2 linked regions of the Lepisosteus oculatus genome follow. The protein of the gene in region 1 purifies or fractionates together with the protein of each later gene. This does not show direct contact. Links are inferred from orthologs where the notes say so. Each region holds a gene or a part of one and is shown on either strand. Other genes may lie near its edges. The genes, in order: mtmr4 and dnajc10.

Evidence for each region.
Region 2: the proteins of mtmr4 (region 1) and dnajc10 purify together in Homo sapiens (affinity purification with mass spectrometry; 3 studies listed by BioGRID and IntAct, counting the BioPlex papers as one, with this or other methods). This does not show direct contact. The link is inferred for Lepisosteus oculatus from reciprocal best matches to the Homo sapiens genes MTMR4 and DNAJC10.

Annotation. Positions count from the first base shown.
Region 1 is NC_090721.1:3,718,281-3,727,816, reverse strand, and holds the start of mtmr4 (myotubularin-related protein 4), read right to left. Parts: upstream 4,096-9,536; 5' UTR 3,775-4,095; coding exon 3,730-3,774; intron 1-3,729. UniProt on the Homo sapiens protein: Lipid phosphatase that specifically dephosphorylates the D-3 position of phosphatidylinositol 3-phosphate and phosphatidylinositol 3,5-bisphosphate, generating phosphatidylinositol and phosphatidylinositol 5-phosphate.
Region 2 is NC_090707.1:18,364,228-18,374,297, forward strand, and holds the start of dnajc10 (dnaJ homolog subfamily C member 10), read left to right. Parts: upstream 1-6,304; 5' UTR 6,305-6,853; intron 6,854-7,988; 5' UTR 7,989-8,110; coding exon 8,111-8,329; intron 8,330-8,439; coding exon 8,440-8,605; intron 8,606-9,047; coding exon 9,048-9,098; intron 9,099-9,212; coding exon 9,213-9,295; intron 9,296-10,033; coding exon 10,034-10,070. Other genes in the region: nucleoporin NUP35, read right to left, coding at 1-79, 280-408, 572-641, 3,991-4,126, 4,568-4,628, 4,715-4,842, 5,322-5,492, 6,025-6,037. UniProt on the Homo sapiens protein: Endoplasmic reticulum disulfide reductase involved both in the correct folding of proteins and degradation of misfolded proteins.

The sequences.
Region 1 (9,536 bases):
ACCATATTCTCTCACTCTGTGCACGGCTTTGCTACCTATTAGCATTCTCTCAATCGCCCACTAAACCCTGTGCTGGAGGTCCTGACTTCAACGCCAGTTTCTCCCATTTAACAGGAGAATTAAATCAGCTAATGGTACTGCAGAGGGGGAGAGAGAGCTTAAAGATAGGCGCGTAGCCCCAGCACGCTATGCAAGGTAAAAAAAACCTGATCCACAAATTGGCTGTGAAGCCGAACTTTGATATTGAGTCCAAATCAGGTGGGTAGAAAACAACCACATGTGATTCTTTCTTTTTAAATCACAAAAACAGAAAAAGAAAAATATATAAAATCCTCCAACCTATGGCCACTTCCACAACGCTGAGTATGGTCTTTTCTCTTCCGTTTGCGAGTTAAGGTTTAGCAACTGAAACGGGCCCGATAGGCAAATCTTCACGGGCAGCAGCAGAAACGCCAAAAAAACACCTCCGAGAACCTACCCCTCTCCAACCGGCAGACACACAGGCCAACTTAAAGGCTTACAAATCAAGGCTGTATGGCAAATACCAATCAAAACAGCCAACAACAGGATAAGCAGAAGAAAATGGGGTTTATAAAAAGGGAATTATTAAAAAAAGAAGTTCCGTTAAGGTAAAAATAATTATTTTCATGATGTGTCAGCACTTAAAAAAACTGAGGTTCCTTTAACCTTTGTTTCCAATGTTACTTAACAGCATCGAGTCACTTTAAGATTGCCCGGAAATACAGAAGGGAGAAAAACACGGAGGCAGTGCAAAATCTGGAAAAGCTGAGCTAACATTCAATGTGTATGCAATCAGCCGGGATGCTATTTGTCCCAAAACTGTACCAAGGCTTCCCCTAGAGACCGACGTGAAGCACACACATCTGTGCTGGTCTGCGCCTGAGCTAGTGTGGTTCACAGGAAGACTGTGCCCAAGAACATTCACTCCTTCCCTCCCATTACCAAACTAAATATTTCAGAGAGAGCTAAATATTTCAAACCACCAGGCTTGTGCAAGTCTAAACTTGATTCCAAACCATGTGTGCAGAAGCCGAGAACAATGCGAAGCCCTTCGTCACATCCTGAACTGTGCTGCCATACTGCTGCCCTGGACTGCAAATAAAATCAATGCCTTTGTTGTGACAGTTAAGATTTTTTTTCTCTCTGCATGAAGCATCATTGATCAATTTAAAAAATGACACCACATTCTTCTAATGAACAAATTAGTGTTTAACACATTTAACACACGCCTGTTGAACCGCAAAGAGATTCAGACATCTCCATTTGGGACATTTTAGGGTGCTTAAGTTATCCCTCAGTAGGCTTGGCTTCAACTTTCTAAAGGGTTTCAGTCTGCGCTGCTCATATCTCAGAAGTCTGGGAGCAGTTTGTAAAAGGTGAGCCACGGAGGAAAGCCCTGCTAGATGGATAAATCGCTTTCTAGATGGGAAAGTAAAACCCATTGAGGGTCACTGAGGATCTCCCCTCTTATGATGCTTTCACAGTCAGCCCAGATAAAAAGCCCTCTGAAACAACAGGAATGACAGAGACCAAGCTGGAACACTACAGCAGTGGCAGAATGCGTATGTCTGGGACACTTCTCTACTCTATCTAAGCAGATGGGCCCTGTCTGGCTGAAGACCCCGGTCACTAACAGAGTCTGGCAGAACCTGGCAGAGCACTGCTGGAGGTCGGCTGTGAACGACTTAGGGACCAGCACTTCAAAAACCACCCCTCAGCCCTTCTAAGGCACAAAGGCACAAAAGTTCACTCTTCCATTTCCCCCCCCCCCCCAGAAACATTTTCTTCTTGTACTGCAGGTCTAGAGAGCGCGCGCGGGCTGTTTGAAGAGCAGTCCAAGGGCTATCCTTGAGAATTAAGAAGGACAGCGCAAGAGAGCCTCTGAAGACAGCAGTGGAGAAACAGGAATGACAGCCAAGCCCATCTGCTGTCTCACAGCGAGGGCTGCCTGGAACCGTGGCGTCCAATATATTTGTGTTCAAACGGGCTGCGCTAGCACTCCAGCACAGCAATGCAAAATTTATTTGGAGCTCCAATTACACCTGGGTTTTATTTAGGCAGATGCATTAGAGCACAGTGCCCTTTGAAAAACAAAGCACAGAGCAAAACCTTTTCAGACAGGTCGTCTGCAGTTTATACAACAATCTATTGCTCCAGTTTAGTACACACCAACGAAAGTGAATTCTCTTTAAATTTCCTATTTAATAGAAAAATTCTAATGTAACTGTGTTGACTTTTTCTGTAGGTTCTGAATACAATAATGGCATACTGAACTCCAGTACTGTACAGCATTTCACAGAGGTACAGTAAACATTTCATAGAAGGCAATACCAACGGGACAGCTGGATGAGGACAACATGCTCATGCTACAGGGGTTGGACGAATATTTCTCCCTTACATTGAGTGTTCAGATGTTTTAAGACTCCAGACCAAAACCAGCCTTAAATTTTTTCAATCAATTAACAAAGTAATTACCAAATGAACAAGATGGACTTTCTATTGTTTGTGAACTTCATGTTATTAACCTTCCAGGACATTTGGAACTGCATCCTGAAATACAAAAAGAAGTAAAAAAAAGTCCTACTGAAAGCTTCAGAATTTAACAGAGAAAAACAGTAGCAAACTAAATATAGACAGTCTTCCATCACCGAAATCAAGTACTCCATCATACTGAGTGTGCCTCCAGGCACAGAGGAAGGATTTGTAGGAAGGTATGTAGGAAATATTTCTTAAACTTTGAATACTTTCAGGGCACAGTCAACAGAACTGCCATGTAAAGCATTAAAATTAACTCCCCAGCAAAAAACACTTCATATACCACAGCAGAAGTATACTGACATGGTTCTTCACGGAAGAATACATCTTATTACCACAAACTTCAGCCATGTGGTTATGGGTGGTGCTCCTGTTTCAAGTGTGAAGGGTTTGCCGATGTGTGCCTAACGGAGAGACGGGGACAATGCCACAGCCTGCTCTTGCCCCAGCTGCATCACAGCAAGTGAAACCCAGACGCTGTAATGTGCAATCACAAGCGTCCCAGCTCCAATTTCTCACCATCCCTTTGGTTTAGAATAACAAATCCCGTCTCCAGCGCTGCTATGAAGGCATCCTCACCCTTCACATTCCAGCGACATGATGGACAGACGCGGTCCTGGCTGTCTTCAGTCTAGGACGCTCTAAAGTAAAGGTCAGAGTTCATCCTGCGTGACCTTTTCACTTCACCATGCCTCCACCACAACCACCATCTACACAATACAAGAAAGCAGTCTGCACATTGCAGTCCACGAACACAGACTGTGTTCTAACCTTTCTAACATTTGAAAACAAAAAGGAATGTCTATTCACAAGGAAAATCCTAGACACTCCTTCACGTGCATAAAGGTGTGCGGGTTTGCTTGAAGGACAAAACAGTGTTTTCATTTACACAACTGTTTCCAAAGATTATATTTCCTCCCCCTCAAAACAAAAAAACCCACATATTCGACTCCCTTTCCCATGCACACAGCTTAACAGCCCGTTTCCTAACCATCACCTTCTTTCAAATAACTTCCCTATTTCCAGTCAGAAAGCCGTCCCATCTCTGGGAAAACAGCAGTCGCGACACTCCAGGCGTTCGTGCAGCTGTGCCTTAACCAGGCGACTCCTGCAGAAGTGAGGGTGCAAAACACAACCCAGAGGAAAAGGAATGGAATGGAAGAGCAGACTTACAAAGCAGTTCAGCATAGAGCAGGAAACGCGTGCAGCCAGGCTCATGTTCAGAGAAAGGTGGGCTGTGCCGGAGAGACCCACAGCCAGGGAAGCAGTATGGCCAGATTATACAGTGCCGGCAAAACCATTCTTCCCCAGCACTGCCCTGGTCCTCACGGCAACCCCCCTCTGCCCCTGCCAGTGCTGCCCCAGGCCCCCGCAGGCTCCTTCTGTGTCTCAGCGGCAGCAAACAACAGGAGCGTCCATGACAAAACCAGGCAGATTCCCCTCTCCGGTCGGCTGGGATAAAAAACAAGCGCGCCAGCAGGTGCACAGGCAAACAGCAAGGAGTGATGTGGAGACAGAGAGAGAGAGGAAAGGGGAGGGAGGGGCTCCCGACGAGACTCCACCTCCAACTAGCACCCCCTCTTCTCCCCCCTTCCTCGCTCTCTCACTTCATCCCCCTCCCCAGCCCCCTCCTGATCCAGCCTGCCTCCTCGCCACACGACCTCCATAGCGTTGTAGAAGACGCGGCCAGCAGGGAGAGGGTTGTCACGCCCGACGTGCTGCCTGGAGAGCAGCGGAAGGCTGAAGGAGACAGAAATCAAAATCCGTCTGCCTGGCAGAAACAGCAGCTAGATTCTCTTGTAAAGACCCGGTATTTTATCCCACACCCCCGACCAAAACCTACAGTACTGTAATCCTGACTGACACAGGCTGGCGACACAAGCTAAGACACAATCTGCTTCCCTGAAGGAGGCTAGCAAGGAACTGCTCACACAGAGGACCCGATGATGCAATCGTGTTTATTTCCGAGACGAGGTAGGGTGGGAGAGGAGGAGTGTGCACGCAAGTGACTGAATGGCTCTACGTTTCATTTTCCTTTCCTGCTGTGCTAAGCAGCATCTTCCTGTTGCTGTAGCACCTTTTGCAGCAGCGCACGTCAACATTTAGCACCGTATGCGAGGCCAGAAGACGGCAGGAATCACCACTGAGCATCAATGACACAGCATTCTGCTGCACAGTACTCTCTCTCTCTCTGCCTGCTTCCTCCTCTACTGTCCTGGCCCATGCTGCGATGAGTCACTGCCACAGTAAACTGCATCAATATCACACACTGCTGCAGAGCTCCTGCACACTGCAGCAGCTACAGAACACTACATGCGGTACTGCAACGCTGTCCAAGGGTCATAACTCACAGCTGCCTTTAGGAAACATTTACTGCCCAACTGGTATACGGTATGTCTTTCGCAGAAGCATATTTATCGAGCCGGTGCTTGACATCTTAAGAGCTGCACGTGACTTGGGTTGACATTGAACTGTTCATATCACTAATGCATTGGAACTGTCAGGTGAAACATTTTCATATAAAAAAAAGAGATACCAGTTTTAAGAGAGAGACAAATTAATGCACAGTCAGCTTGCAAAGTGGGGAGAATAGATCTTCTATGATTATATTAACCATAACCCTGCAGCTAATCAAAAACACTGAAGAGAAAGAATAGAGCCAGACATACAATTAATCTTTAGTTATTTTCGTCTTAAAACCAGCATTTCCAAGATTTTCAGCCTATGCCTGTTTAATGCAGAGACTTTTGGAAATTGAGGCCTTAAGAGATTTTTGGGGCTTAAGTCATTTAATGCATTCACTTGCACAAACTAAATCTCTTAGGACAGCCAACAAGCAAGTTCAGAGCGATACTGATTGGCAAAACCTGCCAGCTACTATGGTATAGCTCTCTTTGTAGAGCAGCTGAGCCACTAAGTCATTAAAAACTGCATTCACGTTACTGCAAACCACATCAAAGCATTTTAAATCTTTGGCCGGGGAAAGACCACACAATATTCAACTCACAAAGCTGAATTTTGTTTCTGTGCTGCTTATTCAACGCTACAGCAAGAGGATGCTGAAGTTCCAACCACACAAAGCTGGGAAGCATGACTCATCTCTGCTCCGGCTGTGCCAGGCGATGCCCAGTAGGGGGGCAGAAAGGCCCTGAAAGCTGCCCCTTCTTCTCTGACACATCTGGCAGTGGTAGAAAAGGCAGCCTGCCCCAGCTTGATACAAGAATGCCAGCTGATGACATGTTTTAAGAAGTCCTGTTGAAAATGCAAAACGTTTTTTTTTTTTAGCCCCATCAGCTCTTTCCAGTGGGAACAGCACCAAACCCCACCCTTGCAGGAGATGACATTTGTTTTTCCTTTCGATCCACCCCCCCACCCCTGCCCCCAACACGCAATTTGGAGTTTCACATTTTTAATCTCCTCATCTTGCGCAGACAGCCAGCGTACCAAGCGCAAGACAGATTAAGCGAGTGCACTCGCAGCCTCTGACACATGTGGTCAGGTCATGTGCTTTTCACCACGTGAGCCTGCATGTCAACATGTCTGAAGCACCAGAAGGCAGCAGGATGGATTTTTCACTTATCATAGTGAATGATGCCCATTGCTTTCAAGCCCCTTTGTCTCAGGGTCACAATTCTGGGTTACAGGACCAAAGTACTTATAAGTACAGTACTGCTCCACACTTTTTTTTTAGGGCTGTATGTTTAGCACAGGTTCATTGTTTCCAAAAGCAACAACAGCACAAAACATGCAGGTGACATTATCATGAATTTCATAACCAAGCAGGTGACATCAATTCCTGTTGCGAAACAAAGGGGACAATATTTACCTGCACATCTGACTGGAAACTGATGTCAGACCCAGTCAGGCTTCACAGCTGTTCCAAAGCAATTCAGTACAGAGAAAACAATGAAAAGCAAAATTGCCCTATTGTTCCTTTCAGTTCCCATTAGAACATGGCAAAGTTCTAACGAATTACAAAAGGACAAGCTCAACACTTGTTTCATGCTTTTGCAAACAGGTTCAGTCCATGTAAACTCAATTTTGTTCCGCTTTCAGGTGGAAAATGATAAAAATGACTTGATAACAGAACCCCACCCACCTCTTTTTTAAAAATAAATCATTGCACCTTTAGAAGGGTTTCCAGATTCTCTGCTGTTAAGACTTGCAAGTAAAGACTTGCAAGGTATTGCACAGTTCACTAAATCTGCACAACAGAGAGGCCACACACCTTCTCAAATTGCACACTAGAATAAGGACTTAAACAGTGGATTATGAACACAGATCACAAGTATCCAATTTTTAAAAGTGAAAATCTCCACAATTTACTTTTTATTTTTTAAAAAACGCCATATTGCCTTGATTCACCCTAGTGGACTTTAATGATAAAATAAGCAGTGTTAGTCTAACCGCACATTTAAGAACAGGAAACTAAAGTTTTAAATCATCACAATACCATAGTAACTCTCAACAAGGTAAACTCTGCATTTAATTTATCAGACTTTGAAGGGTTTAAATAACAACTGACCTGTTAAATTAGGGAAAATAAAGACAATGGATACAGTTAGCTGTGGCTTCTCTTATTTGCTCATTTAATTCTGAGTAAAACAGTTCCACAACAGTTATATTTGACTGCATACTCACGTCAACATCCTAAACAAATGTCAAACTCCAGTACTACAGTATGCTGTTCCTAATAGATGTATACAGAGGGTTTTTTCTTTTTAACCTTGGGTGCCTGTCCCTTAAACGACAGCTTGATTAGAATATACTTCTTCTAGTGCCCCACAGAATTTACAGAATGCAAAAATAATGCTACTAGAGGGGAGATGTTTTAATTTTAAGTCCTAGTAACAGCGTTCATCCTGGTTTTCCAAACAGCAGCCTCCCCGTGCAGCTCAGCAGCCATAAGCCTCTGACTTGCAAGCTGAGTGTGCAACGAGGGTGAATTTTATTCCTATGAATGCAGGCAAACCTAATGTTTGGTTACTGTACCAATACACTGAATAATTATGTGTAGAGGTCCCAGTCTCACTAGATATGCATTTAAAGAGAGATCAGGAAACTAGCCTGCTTTCTCAACTCCTAGTAGAACACCACAGCATTCCCTCTGGGAGCTTTCTTGCTTAATCAAGTCAGGCACACCCTCGTTGGAACTTATTAGCATACCCCACAGGACAAGTGCCATCAGCCATTGATCCATTATGGAATATGCCTTTGATAAATGACTAAATCTGAAGCTCCAAACCAGGGCAACTGTACCTCTCACGAGACGCAGGATTTAACAGGAAAGGAAAGGGCTCAGGAAGCAGAAGAACGACAGGTACCATGATTGACTGCACCGTTTCGTTTTGGAAAGATGCTGATGCTGTTTGAATCTGTAACTCCTGTTTAAGCTAAAGGTGTTCACGGCAAATTAACAAGATATCGGGTGAATCTGGATCCCCTTGGGTCATGCATCTAAAATGGAAGACTTCCTCTTTTTTTGAAAAGCCTCCATTAACACCATTAAGATGAAATAATATTTCAAGGATTATTTTGAAATGCTAATCAACAACCGTGTTAACTGGGAAGCCATCTGCTACAGCAAACGACTAGCGGGAAGAAGTGCTTTTAATTTGTTTTTAATTCAATCACAATAATGGCAGGTCACGCGTATGTGTCCATTTCTTTCCGTTCTGCTTCGGTTCTTATTCACCTCACACTGAAAACCATGATGCTACTAACATGAAGGCATATAGCACTGTTCATGCTGTATGCATGAATGTTTTATAAACAGTTTAAAAAACAAACATCAGACTTCACTTGGACAGAAATCAACATCTGACTACTACTCCAAATTTTAATGGTTTTCTCACTGAAACAAAAGAGTAAATGAAGACACTGTACACAACTATATCCCAGAATCCCTGGATTCAATATGGCAAATAATTATGGAAACAAAGGAAAACTGATATGTAATGGAAATTGAAATATGGATAATCCATACAGCATGTTTAATTATAAAAATATACTAATTGATTTCTAATTCAGTATTTGTAATGGAGGCCCTTTGTTCAACACAGAGCTTTACATCTTGGCTCTGTGGAAGGATGCTCCAAACAGCCTGGAACTCGTCCCACAATCTGGCCAACTTGCTTAGCCAGCTTTGCAGTATACATGCAATCCTGCGCGACCCCTGGCGTCCATGTCAGGACTTTGTGCACACCAAGGCCAGCCAGTGTATAGAAGCCAAAGTTCCTCCACAAACTGGCTGCACACTTGAGGTCACGGTCATGTTGGAAGGCAAATGCTGGACCTGCGAGACCCGTCAGAGGACAGGTTATCCCTGATACCCCAGGACGAGACACACCTCCGTTCTACACCGTTACACTGCTCTCCACTGTGCCTTCAAACGAACTGCCACTGATCACTGCCAAACAGATCCGACTTGGATCTGTCTGTGATCTTTTACCAGGGCATGCTGCCTTCCTAAAGCAAACACCCTTCCTTTGAGACTATTCTGTGCTCGTATGAATTGTACTTTTCAGGAAGAAAACTCCTCTATGGCAAAGTCATTCACAAGATCAACCATCAAACAGACCCTTACTGCGGGGAATGGAGTATCAGGATTGGCGAGTCTGGATCTCCTTCCTCAGAGAAAAGCAGATGGAGCTGGGCTGCCATCTGTCGATAGGAGTAGCCTTCATCAGCTAAAACTGATTTCTAGAAACTTGTCATGTAAGATTTCTTCCCAGGAGCAATAGCCTTCTCCTCTACAGTCTCACCCGTCACACCATCAGTAATATACTGCATTAGGCAATACTTTATGTTACAAAAAATACACATTAACCTGCTCTGTGCTTGCCGGGATAGACTCAGGTTCCCCCATGACACTGAACTGGAAGAAGCGATGGGAAAATAGATGAATGTGAATCATTATGAGTGCTGAATTCCCAGAGCACGCATCATCGCATCCGTGTTACTACCATGATTGTTGGATG
Region 2 (10,070 bases), on another chromosome or scaffold:
GAGTCCCTATTGTTTTAACTGGAGGGGTAAACACAGAACTGGAGGATGAAGAGCCTTTATCAGAGCTCTCCATTACATTCTGAAAAAAAAATGCAATACAGTTACTTTCCACACTGCTACACAAAGCAAAACCGCATGAAGAGACTGACAAGAGACATCAGCCTTGGTTTCCTATACTTGATTATGAGACAAATTTTAAACAGGCACTTCATAATTCCCAATTATGATGATTAGTTAATGCTGCTTAGCTGAAAGAAAATCAACAGGTAGCGCACTCACCTTTTCTATGCAAGGCTTAACTCCAATCATGATGGCATCTCCAAAGACTTTCCCATCTTTGCTGAGCGCTTTTCTAGCTTGGAGTTTTGATTGATACTGAATATGCATCCAATTGCCATTATTAGACATCTACAGACAGTAAAGAAAGGTCACGCCCCTTCAATATAATGCTTAAAGGAAATTGTTGATCCATAAAATAAAACTGAACAAAAATATATTACAAAAGACTTGATAAAATGTGAAAATCTACATGATGAAAATGTGAAAATTAAGAATTAACTCATAACCTTACCACGTGTTTCAATACGTTTCCATATTGGGCAAACTGCAAAAGTATATATGAAGCTGATGCTGGAGGAAACCTATTTAAAAGAATAAATTTAAGAATTAGTATTTCAGATATATTTTACAGTTTCAGACAAAACTTGACCCTACATACAAAACAATATTATTAACCAAATCTTTCAGAATATCACTTATTGAATTACAAAATATTACTTATTGAACTATAAAGATTCATTTTCAGTTTACTTAACAGAGATTCATACTACATTCTATCGAGTAGTGCTCAAGTTTGATGAAATTTACAAAAAAATATGTAAAACATTTCTATGTTTATGTTTACTGTATGCAAATTATTTAGCAAGCATTAGAACAAAATGCTGAAAAAAATAATTTGAAAATGCTTATATTTTGTTACCTAGCATATTTTACACTAATAATTATGTGCAAGTCAACTTTTTTTTTATGAGAGGCTGTGGTATGCTCATTCATAGCACTGTATTAGTCCTTTTGTTCATTCCTTCATCCTGAGTATGAGACATGAAATGCGCAACAAGGTGTTTGGAGACTTGAAAGACAAACAGGTTTGCAGGTTTCAATCAACCTAGAGCAATACCACAACTCGGAAACACAGGGAATGCTGCTAACAGAAACAATAACAAATAACAATAACATAGAAATAACTACAGCTGCCAAAGGTAGAAGCAGAAACCTCACCACAACTTATATTATCTACAGGTTCTGCTGGTATCAAGGGCAGCACCTCTACAAAGATGGTATCATGATTCAAGGTCAATAGGTTGTACAACTGCAGTGTATCAATATAAGACAAGCAGCACTAAGATGTAGGCAAAGGGTGTTGGTTTGTGACTTTTTGCAGTTCTACCTTATCTTGCAATAGGTGGGTCTACATATATTGAAAATGTATATATCGCATTGTATGATTTATCCACTTGAGGTGGTGCAGGAAGCAGAGCTAACCTATGACTTGCCAGAATAAGAAAAGGGGTTCCTTGACCCACATAGCTATCAGAAGGAAGCTTTCATGGGTGTCAAAAACGTGGCTAGAGAAAGTCAGAGGTCAGGTTAGAGAAACTGATAAAATACCAGATATACAATGCCTTGCAAAAGTATTCACCCCCCTTGGACTTTTTCACATTTTATTGTGTTACAGCATGGAAACCTGATGTGTTTAACTGAGATTTTTTACCACTGATCAACACAGTACTCTATAATGTCAAAGAGAAAAAAAATCCAGACATTTTACTAAACTAAAAATAAAAAACAGAAAATAACTGAAAGCATAAGTATTCTCCCCCTTGCTTTGAAGCAGCTAAATTACCCATTAAGTAACCAACTCTCTTCTCCAAGTCACATAATTACTTGACTGGAGTCCACCTGTGTGCATTTGAGGTGTTTCACATGATTGCAGAATAAATACACCTGTGTCTGGCAGCTTCCTTTGAAATGCACTATGGGGGGGAAACACTACATCATGAAGACCAAGGAATGTTCCAAGCAGATCTGAGACGAGGTTCTTGAAAATGACCATTTAGGATATAAGGATATAAGAAAATTTTCAAGGCACTGAATATACCTTGAAGCACAGGGAAGTCCATCATTACAAAGGTGAGAAAATATGGAACAACTGTGAATCTGCCCAGAACTGTCCGCCCTCCAAAACTGAGTGTCCGGGCAAGAAGAGCCATAGTAAGGGAGGCCACCAAGAAGCCTACGGCAACTCTAAAGGAGTTACAGTCCTCCATGACAGAAATGGGAGAAACTATGTATTAGACAACAATAGCACGCACGCTTCATATATCTCGGTTGTACGGAAGGGTTGCAAGAAGAAAGCCTTTGTTGGGAAAAAAAACTCATATTACATCTCGGCTGGAGTTTGCCCAATGGCATGTGAGAGACTCAACAATTTGGAGGAAGATTCTATGGTCTGATGAAACCAAAATTTAACTTTGTCTGGTGCGAACCTAACACAGCATATCACACTGAGAATACCACCATTTGGGGATGCTTCTCTGCGGCAGGGACCGGAAAACTCATAAAGATAGAAGGAAAAATGGATGGAGCTAAGTACAGAACCATCCTGGAAGAAAAGATGCTGTAATCTGCAAGAGCACTGGGACTTGGAAGACGATTCATCTTCCAAAAGGACAATGATCCAAAACATACAGCAAAAGCCACACTGGAGTGCCTTAAAACTAAAAAGGTTAATGTCCTGGAGTGGCAAAGTCAACGCCCAGAACTCAATCCAATTGAGAATCTATGGAATGACTTAAAAATTGGTAATCAAAAATGGTCACCTTCCAACTTGATGGAGCTTCAGCAGTTTTGCCAAGGAGAATGGGTAAGAATTCCAGTGTCAAGATGTGCAATGCTGATAGAGACTTACCGAAAGAAACTCACAGCTGTAATTGCTGCCAAAGGTGGTCCTACCAAGTATTAACTCTGGGATTGGGGAGGAATACTTATGCATTAAATTATTTTCTGTTTTTTATTTTTCATTAATGTAGTAAAATGTCTAGATTTTTTTTTCACCTTGACATTACGAAAAAGAAATTCCTAATCCAAGAAATTGTATAAGGCTAATAAAGAGATCTTATCTTATAGAGTACCTTGTGTTGATGACTGGCGAAAATTTTGTTAAGTACATCATGGTTAAAATAAAATGTGAAAAGGTAACCCCAAGGGGGGGTTAAACAACTTTCGCAAGGCACTGTAGGCCTCATACCTTTACGTACCTTAAGAAAGACAGGTTTAACAGGAATTTAGAAAGGTATATAAACCGCAGAAAATGTCTATTACGTCACTATTGTACTGCGGTTGATCCAAAATGTTGTAGCATTTTCAGGTTTGGAGTTAGTTTGCTGTGTAGTAATCACTACTAGTGATGCTTTGGGAGGCACGAGTCAGTTAAGGTGTTCTGCATCAGCTGCAATAATAAAACTGAAAGTAAGATTACTAGGTAAAATTTCTGAACTTCAAACTATTCACGTTTTTTAGTGGACCTGGTGATTACATACCTTTATATTATTGGTTAGAACTCAACTGTTGTACCCTTGAGCAAGTTACTTTATTCAAATTTCTCCAGTTAATGCCCTGCTCTATAAATAAGCTACTATATTACAAAATTGTGAAATAAAATTTATTCACTTGACTTATCTGGGAAAACAATAAAAAAGAAACCTACAGTATGTGTCCCCTCTTTAAGTAAAATACTAAACTAAAGGGATTTAATCTCGCACCTCTGTGAAATGAAGCATTTTAAATGTTCTTCTCAGAAACATGTTTACAAAAGGTGAAATGATACCACAGTAAACCTAGCTTTAGCCTGTCAGATATCTATCTGGAGTTAGAACTTTTGCAGTGTACAGTATGTGCAATGCAAACTTAAAAAATAGTATTTATATTTACCCAAAAACTGTGACCCAAGTTTCATCTAAATGGTCATCTGAAGAAAGTGCATCCCCCTGGGTATAGAAAGGATCAACTTGGGCTGGAGAGATGGCTGCCCTTCTCTGTTGGCCGAGAGGACTAAATACACTTGATGCTGTTAAAATTCAAACAAGTAGCTGTTTTAGTTCTGTTAGAACCGTGCGTTGCACTTTTCCTTTTCAGATATTACAAGACATATTAGTTGCCGATGGCAAGATAAAAATAGCTATACGTTTTTTGCCTTTACCACCAAATGAAATCTCAAAATGTCTCAAGAGGATGAAATTAAAATTCAACCCACGGTTTAAGCGGACTAGCGATTAGGTCAATTTATTTTGTACCCCCATCATATCATATTTGCAACATAATTTTAATAAACCAAAAGAGCTAGAGGCACAGATTTTTTGTTTAGATTAAAAAAAAAACACTCAGCCCATTAAGCCTTAAAATCAAAAGCACTGTTCCCCAATTTAAAGCACTGCATATGAGATGTTCATGTTATTAACTGATGTTAAAAAAAGATGTCTTGCAAAAGTACTTCAACCATATAATTCACCTGTTCCTGGGGAGGCAGCAGCCAAGGCAGATAATGGGGTCTGTAGCACTGAAAAAGAGGGCTGTGGACAGGAATGGCGATATTTTATTACAGGAAGATGATCAGATAATGTGATAAGAAAATAAATCAACAGTTCTAACTGCTTACTTGCTTCTGCAAACTCAGTGATGATGCCCCAATCCCTGGACATGTTAACTCATCATATATACTTCTAACTGGGGGTGCCCCACTCTTGTCCTTGGGTGTGGGGACAACTGGCTGAGGAGGTGAACCACCTGAGGGGAAAAAAAATTGAGAGAGGCATCTTGCACATGTGCAACACTGAGTTTTACTCTGTGACTATATTTAAATCTCTATTCCTCATCGTGCCGTAACCTTATCTTGTGGTCATTTCTTCTAGTATACCACAGTGTCTTCACATCTTGACTAGCACAGCCAAATACTTACACGGTAGTGAGAAAGGTTGCTCTTACTCCTTCAGAAATGGACATTTCCCCAAAATAAATGGTCTCCATAAATCCATTCTAAATTTTACAGCCCTTTCTCGGCACTTTAAATGTGATTTTACATGCACGTACCTCGATATGTTTTTTGGAACGGAGAACCCCCCCTAAACAATTGGTCAGTGGATTATTTGTTGCGTCCGTCACAGCCAGCAGACCTTCTGCACGAAGCAGACTGGTATAAATTCACACCTGTTACGCCATGTCCCGTAAAATCGTGGATTATGAAGATGAATACATAAACAGCTCACCCGTCATAAGAGGAGACCTCATTTCCATCCCACTGCCGACAGAGCTGCTGAAGGTGCGAGGCTGGGGAGTCACCGGCGCTGGCAGGTCGCCCATCAGAAACCCGGGCAGGAACTGTGCGCCCGAACTGGGCTTTGGGGAGGTTGGCGACCCCAGGGTCATTGGTTCTGTACCTGACAAAGTTAAGATAAATCCGTATATTTGCTTTTATCCGACTCACCTAGAGCTGCCCAAAACACCGTTTCATGGAGACTCTTCCTTGGAATAAAACAAGCCAATACCTCTAAACTTTTTTTGGAGTAGCTTTGAAGGCAATTTATTAACACAGTATAATAGTTCATATATATATATATTGATGACAATAAACAAACATACAAATCTCGAATTAGTATTAGCAAAAATTCATATTGATTATAAAATGTATTAATACCCCTCACGCTATATCCCCTATGTTCAAAAAAAGCGATAAGTCTAGTGTTACTGCAGTTATAACTGTCAACTGGGACACGCCATAAATAGAACAATGTCTCAAAAACTATAAAAATAAAATCAGAATTAGATATTTTATCAATATTGCAGTCTTAACATGACTATTAATTAATTTAGGCCTGAATGAGATTAAGGGAATAACATGGAGCGGTAGATTTTAAAATATATGCATTCCTAACCTCCAAAAGTACAACACTAGAAAAAGACTGTACCCACCTTGAAATTCCATTACAGGCTACCCACAAAACAGTATATAAGGACAGCTGAAAAAGTAAAGCAAGCTGATTTTTCCAATCAAAATGTGCCTAATTTTAGGTTGAAATAGATTCAAATTTTCAAATAATGGCGGAAATCGTGCGCTTTCCAGCAATACCGAGGCATTCTGGGGGTGACGTCATATAAAAGCTGCGGGCAGACTCCTGTTTCATGTGAAGTCGGAAAGGAGTGGGATTTAAAGGGCACGTGTAAAAATTACAACATTATAGTGATTTCACATTTTTATGTATTTTTCGTTTGCATTAAACACATAAAAGATTCCGCTTAGATGCATTACCCTACTATGTATTTAACTTGAACTAACTGAACAAGTATGTATTTAACTTTAACTAATTATTCTAAGCAGAAAATTAAGTCATATTTACGAAAAGAAAATTCCTTATTCCAGAATCGCTGTATAATACATAACCTAAAACTAGCAGAACCACGATTAAAAAGACGCGTTCCTTTCTCTGGTTTTTGAGGTAGTTTCCCATTGGTTAGTGTAACAGGGTCTGTGGTTAACGTGGCACTCACACAACGTTTTAACGTCATCACGGTGGTACACTAAAGTTTCTCTTAGTGTCTGCAAATATACCGGTACCGAAATAACAGGATCTTTACCCGGATAGGCGAGGAGAAGTAATGTTTGCCTTATTATAATTGCCATGTGCTTTCCTTTGTAAGCTGCAGTCTGTATAAGCTTAGATGTTTATGTTATCAGAAAAAAACATTCATTGAAATTTTGGAAACGCTTTAGACTGACATTGGTGCGACGAAACAGGAGTCGGTAAGTTGTCTGTCTACCCATCCTTATATCTAAAGTGATGCACTTTTGTTAGCATATTATCACATAAGGTTAAAAGTGATGCAGATTTAAGAATAGGTATAAGTACTGTATAACCCCAGATTCAGAGCAAGTTTTAATTAAAACGAATAATAAATTTTGTACATGATCTAGCTAATCCTAATAATAACAGCATCAAGATTTTAATAGTTGCATATTTTAATGCTATCTGTTACTAGAAGATAAACACGTTTAATTGAACTGCTTTCATTCCTTGTTCATGTGAATTATAAACAACTGCAACTAGAAATTCCAGTTTGTGAACACAAAACAATTGATTTCTTTCATGTATGTAATTACCTGCTATACACATATTACTGTACATTTAAACCTGAGTTCAGGAGCAATCCTGGTATGATTTTTAGCTAGAATGTATGCCTCCCCATGGGTAAACCATTACAGTTTCCTGGATCTTACAAAGATAACCATCATACCTCATTATCTTCACCCAAGGTTACTTTTCGTTCATAAACCTTGTTACTGTAATAGATGGATTGAAAAAAAATGAACATTCCTGCTTTCATCACACACTGTAGATTATTTTCTGTATAGAAACATTGTGGTGCAGTTACGATGTGTCTTTTTCTAAGTGGAAAAGTGAAGTTTGTTTATTTGTACTTCAGTTTACTTTAGTACTTTGCAGTCTACAAAGACCATTAGTTCCTCATTGACCTCCTCTTCTGCAATAATTTATTCTTCATCAAATCTAAATTGAGGGCATTCATTTTTGGGTACAAATTGTGATTTAATTATTTCATTTAGAATTAACTCACTATGTGTTGTAAAAGGTATGAAATGCTGCCTATTTGGAAAATGTCCGGCACCTCCTGGCTATAAATCATACAATTCTCCCTAAAAATTGAGTTTTTTGTTTAGATTGTTTTCACACCATGGACTGCATCCAAAAACATTAACTTTTAAAATGCTATGCAGTACTGCCAAAATTGATCTAAAGTATAGATAAATGTCCTTTGACAGGATTTAATATCAAAAGGTGTGATGTAGCTCTGGATTTATAGAATCACTATAATGTACAATCATTGTTTGCATAATGTTTTCTCATTTTTTTCCAACATAGATATCTTTAAAACTGTTTGAAGCAAGCAGTTACTGGCACATAGCTGAGGATGAAGATATCGAATTCAGCTTGAGAGCAACTGTGTCTTGAAGGTTGATTGAGTCAGCGGGGAGCAGAACACAATGGAATCAGCACTACTTGCAGAACAAACCTGTTGTGTTTACAGAAGACAGTCAAGCAGAACATTTTTGTACTTTTTTGTTATAATATGTTTGGCTGCTGTTATTTCCTGCAATGATGATTATTATGAGCTACTTGGAGTGTCCAGAGAAGCAAGTAATAGAGAAATTCGACAGGCCTTTAAGAAGCTTGCACTAACAATGCATCCTGATAAAAACCCTGTAAGTAAATATCTCAAAGCATATACAAATTGTACATTGCATGAAATCATAGATATGAAATGTTATTTGTAACAAGGTGTCAAAACTTTGACTGTCCATGTTTTATTTAGAATGATCAGGATGCTCATGACAAGTTCCTGAAGATAAACAGAGCCTATGAAGTTTTGAAAGATGAAGATTTGCGGAAGAAATATGATAAATATGGAGAGAAAGGACTACAAGATAATCAGGAGGGTGGAAGATATGAAAGCTGGAACTATTACCGATATGACTTTGGTATGTCGGCCTAACAACGTCTCACTTTATGTGTGCTGTGTGTTGCTCGCCATCTACTGTATGCTGCGTACAGAAAAGTAAGGCTAATCCAGGATAAAATTGCCCAAGGTATTTATTTCCATAGAACTGAAATATTTTCCCCAGAGGAAAGTGATTTACCTTATTTAATTCAGGATTGAGTGCTTTCTGTGCACTGGGTTTAAATTTTGGTAGATCAGATCTCCTACTCATACGTAAATTTTAAGTGTAGAATCTTAAACAATTGGAAGGCTGAGCTAAAAGTATGTATCCATCTTACATGTGTTTGATAATTTCAAGGTAGAGATTTCTGAAAAGCCTAATTGAAAGTGGAGAATTAAAATATTAATTAATAATGATGTGTCATTTTAGTTTAGAGCTGACTATTGGAATGTTTTTTGATATATTGTTTTCACTTTTACAGGTATATATGATGATGATCTTGAGATCATCACATTGGACAGAGGGGACTTTGGTAAGCATTTTTTATCAGATACTATCAAATAATATAATAGTAAATCTGGCTGTCTGCCTAACATTTGCTGTTAACAGGATGATTTACAGGGGTATTTATTTTGTTATTCATTAGATGCGGCTGTGAACTCTGGAGAGCTGTGGTTTGTGAATTTCTACTTTCCACGCTGCTCACATTGTCATGACTTGGCACCAACGGTGAGAAAACTATTCTTGCACTACGTTTTGTTTTTCTAGAATATTTACAGACATCTTTTAAAATTATATTCCTGCTTTCTAGCTGTCAGTAATCCTGGATCTCTTTGTAAACCTTGAATGATGAGATAGGTACAGAATAAGATATATATTTTAAGTAGATCCTTTCTGGTGAATAAAATGTAATCCGTGAAATTGTTTTTTAGTTTTTGCTGTATTATGGATGTCTTGGTGTGGTAAGCTACACCTGTTGTAGTTTTGTTACAAAGTAGAGTAGCTGATAGCTAAAGGTGTCCTGAAAGGGTTTTAAAAACATTATGCTAGTATCACTGTAAAACCCTAAATATTTAGTTGTTTCTTAAAGAGATTATTATTACTTATTTCTCTTTCAATCTCTAAAAACTACAAAAACATACAAAAGCATCAGAACTACACATCGTATACTCTAGGTGGTCATAAAGGGAAATTAATTCTCTGAGATCAGTGCTTTGTAGGTACTGTAGATGAATTCAGAATCTAAAATGGAAATATGTGGTAACATATTTCTCTCTTTAAATTGATAAGCAAAGATAATAATTTTGTTACCCATAGTGCTGAATAAATATGAAATTAAAATGTGACATAAATTAATTGTCATTTCTTTCTTCTTTCTTGTCATCTCTTGTTTTAGTTCTGCTTGATTTTCATAGCTGTACAAAGGTGTTTTTCCAATCTAAATAATATTTTTTACTCTTACTTTAGTGGAGAGAGTTTGCAAAGGAAATGGATGGTGTAATCA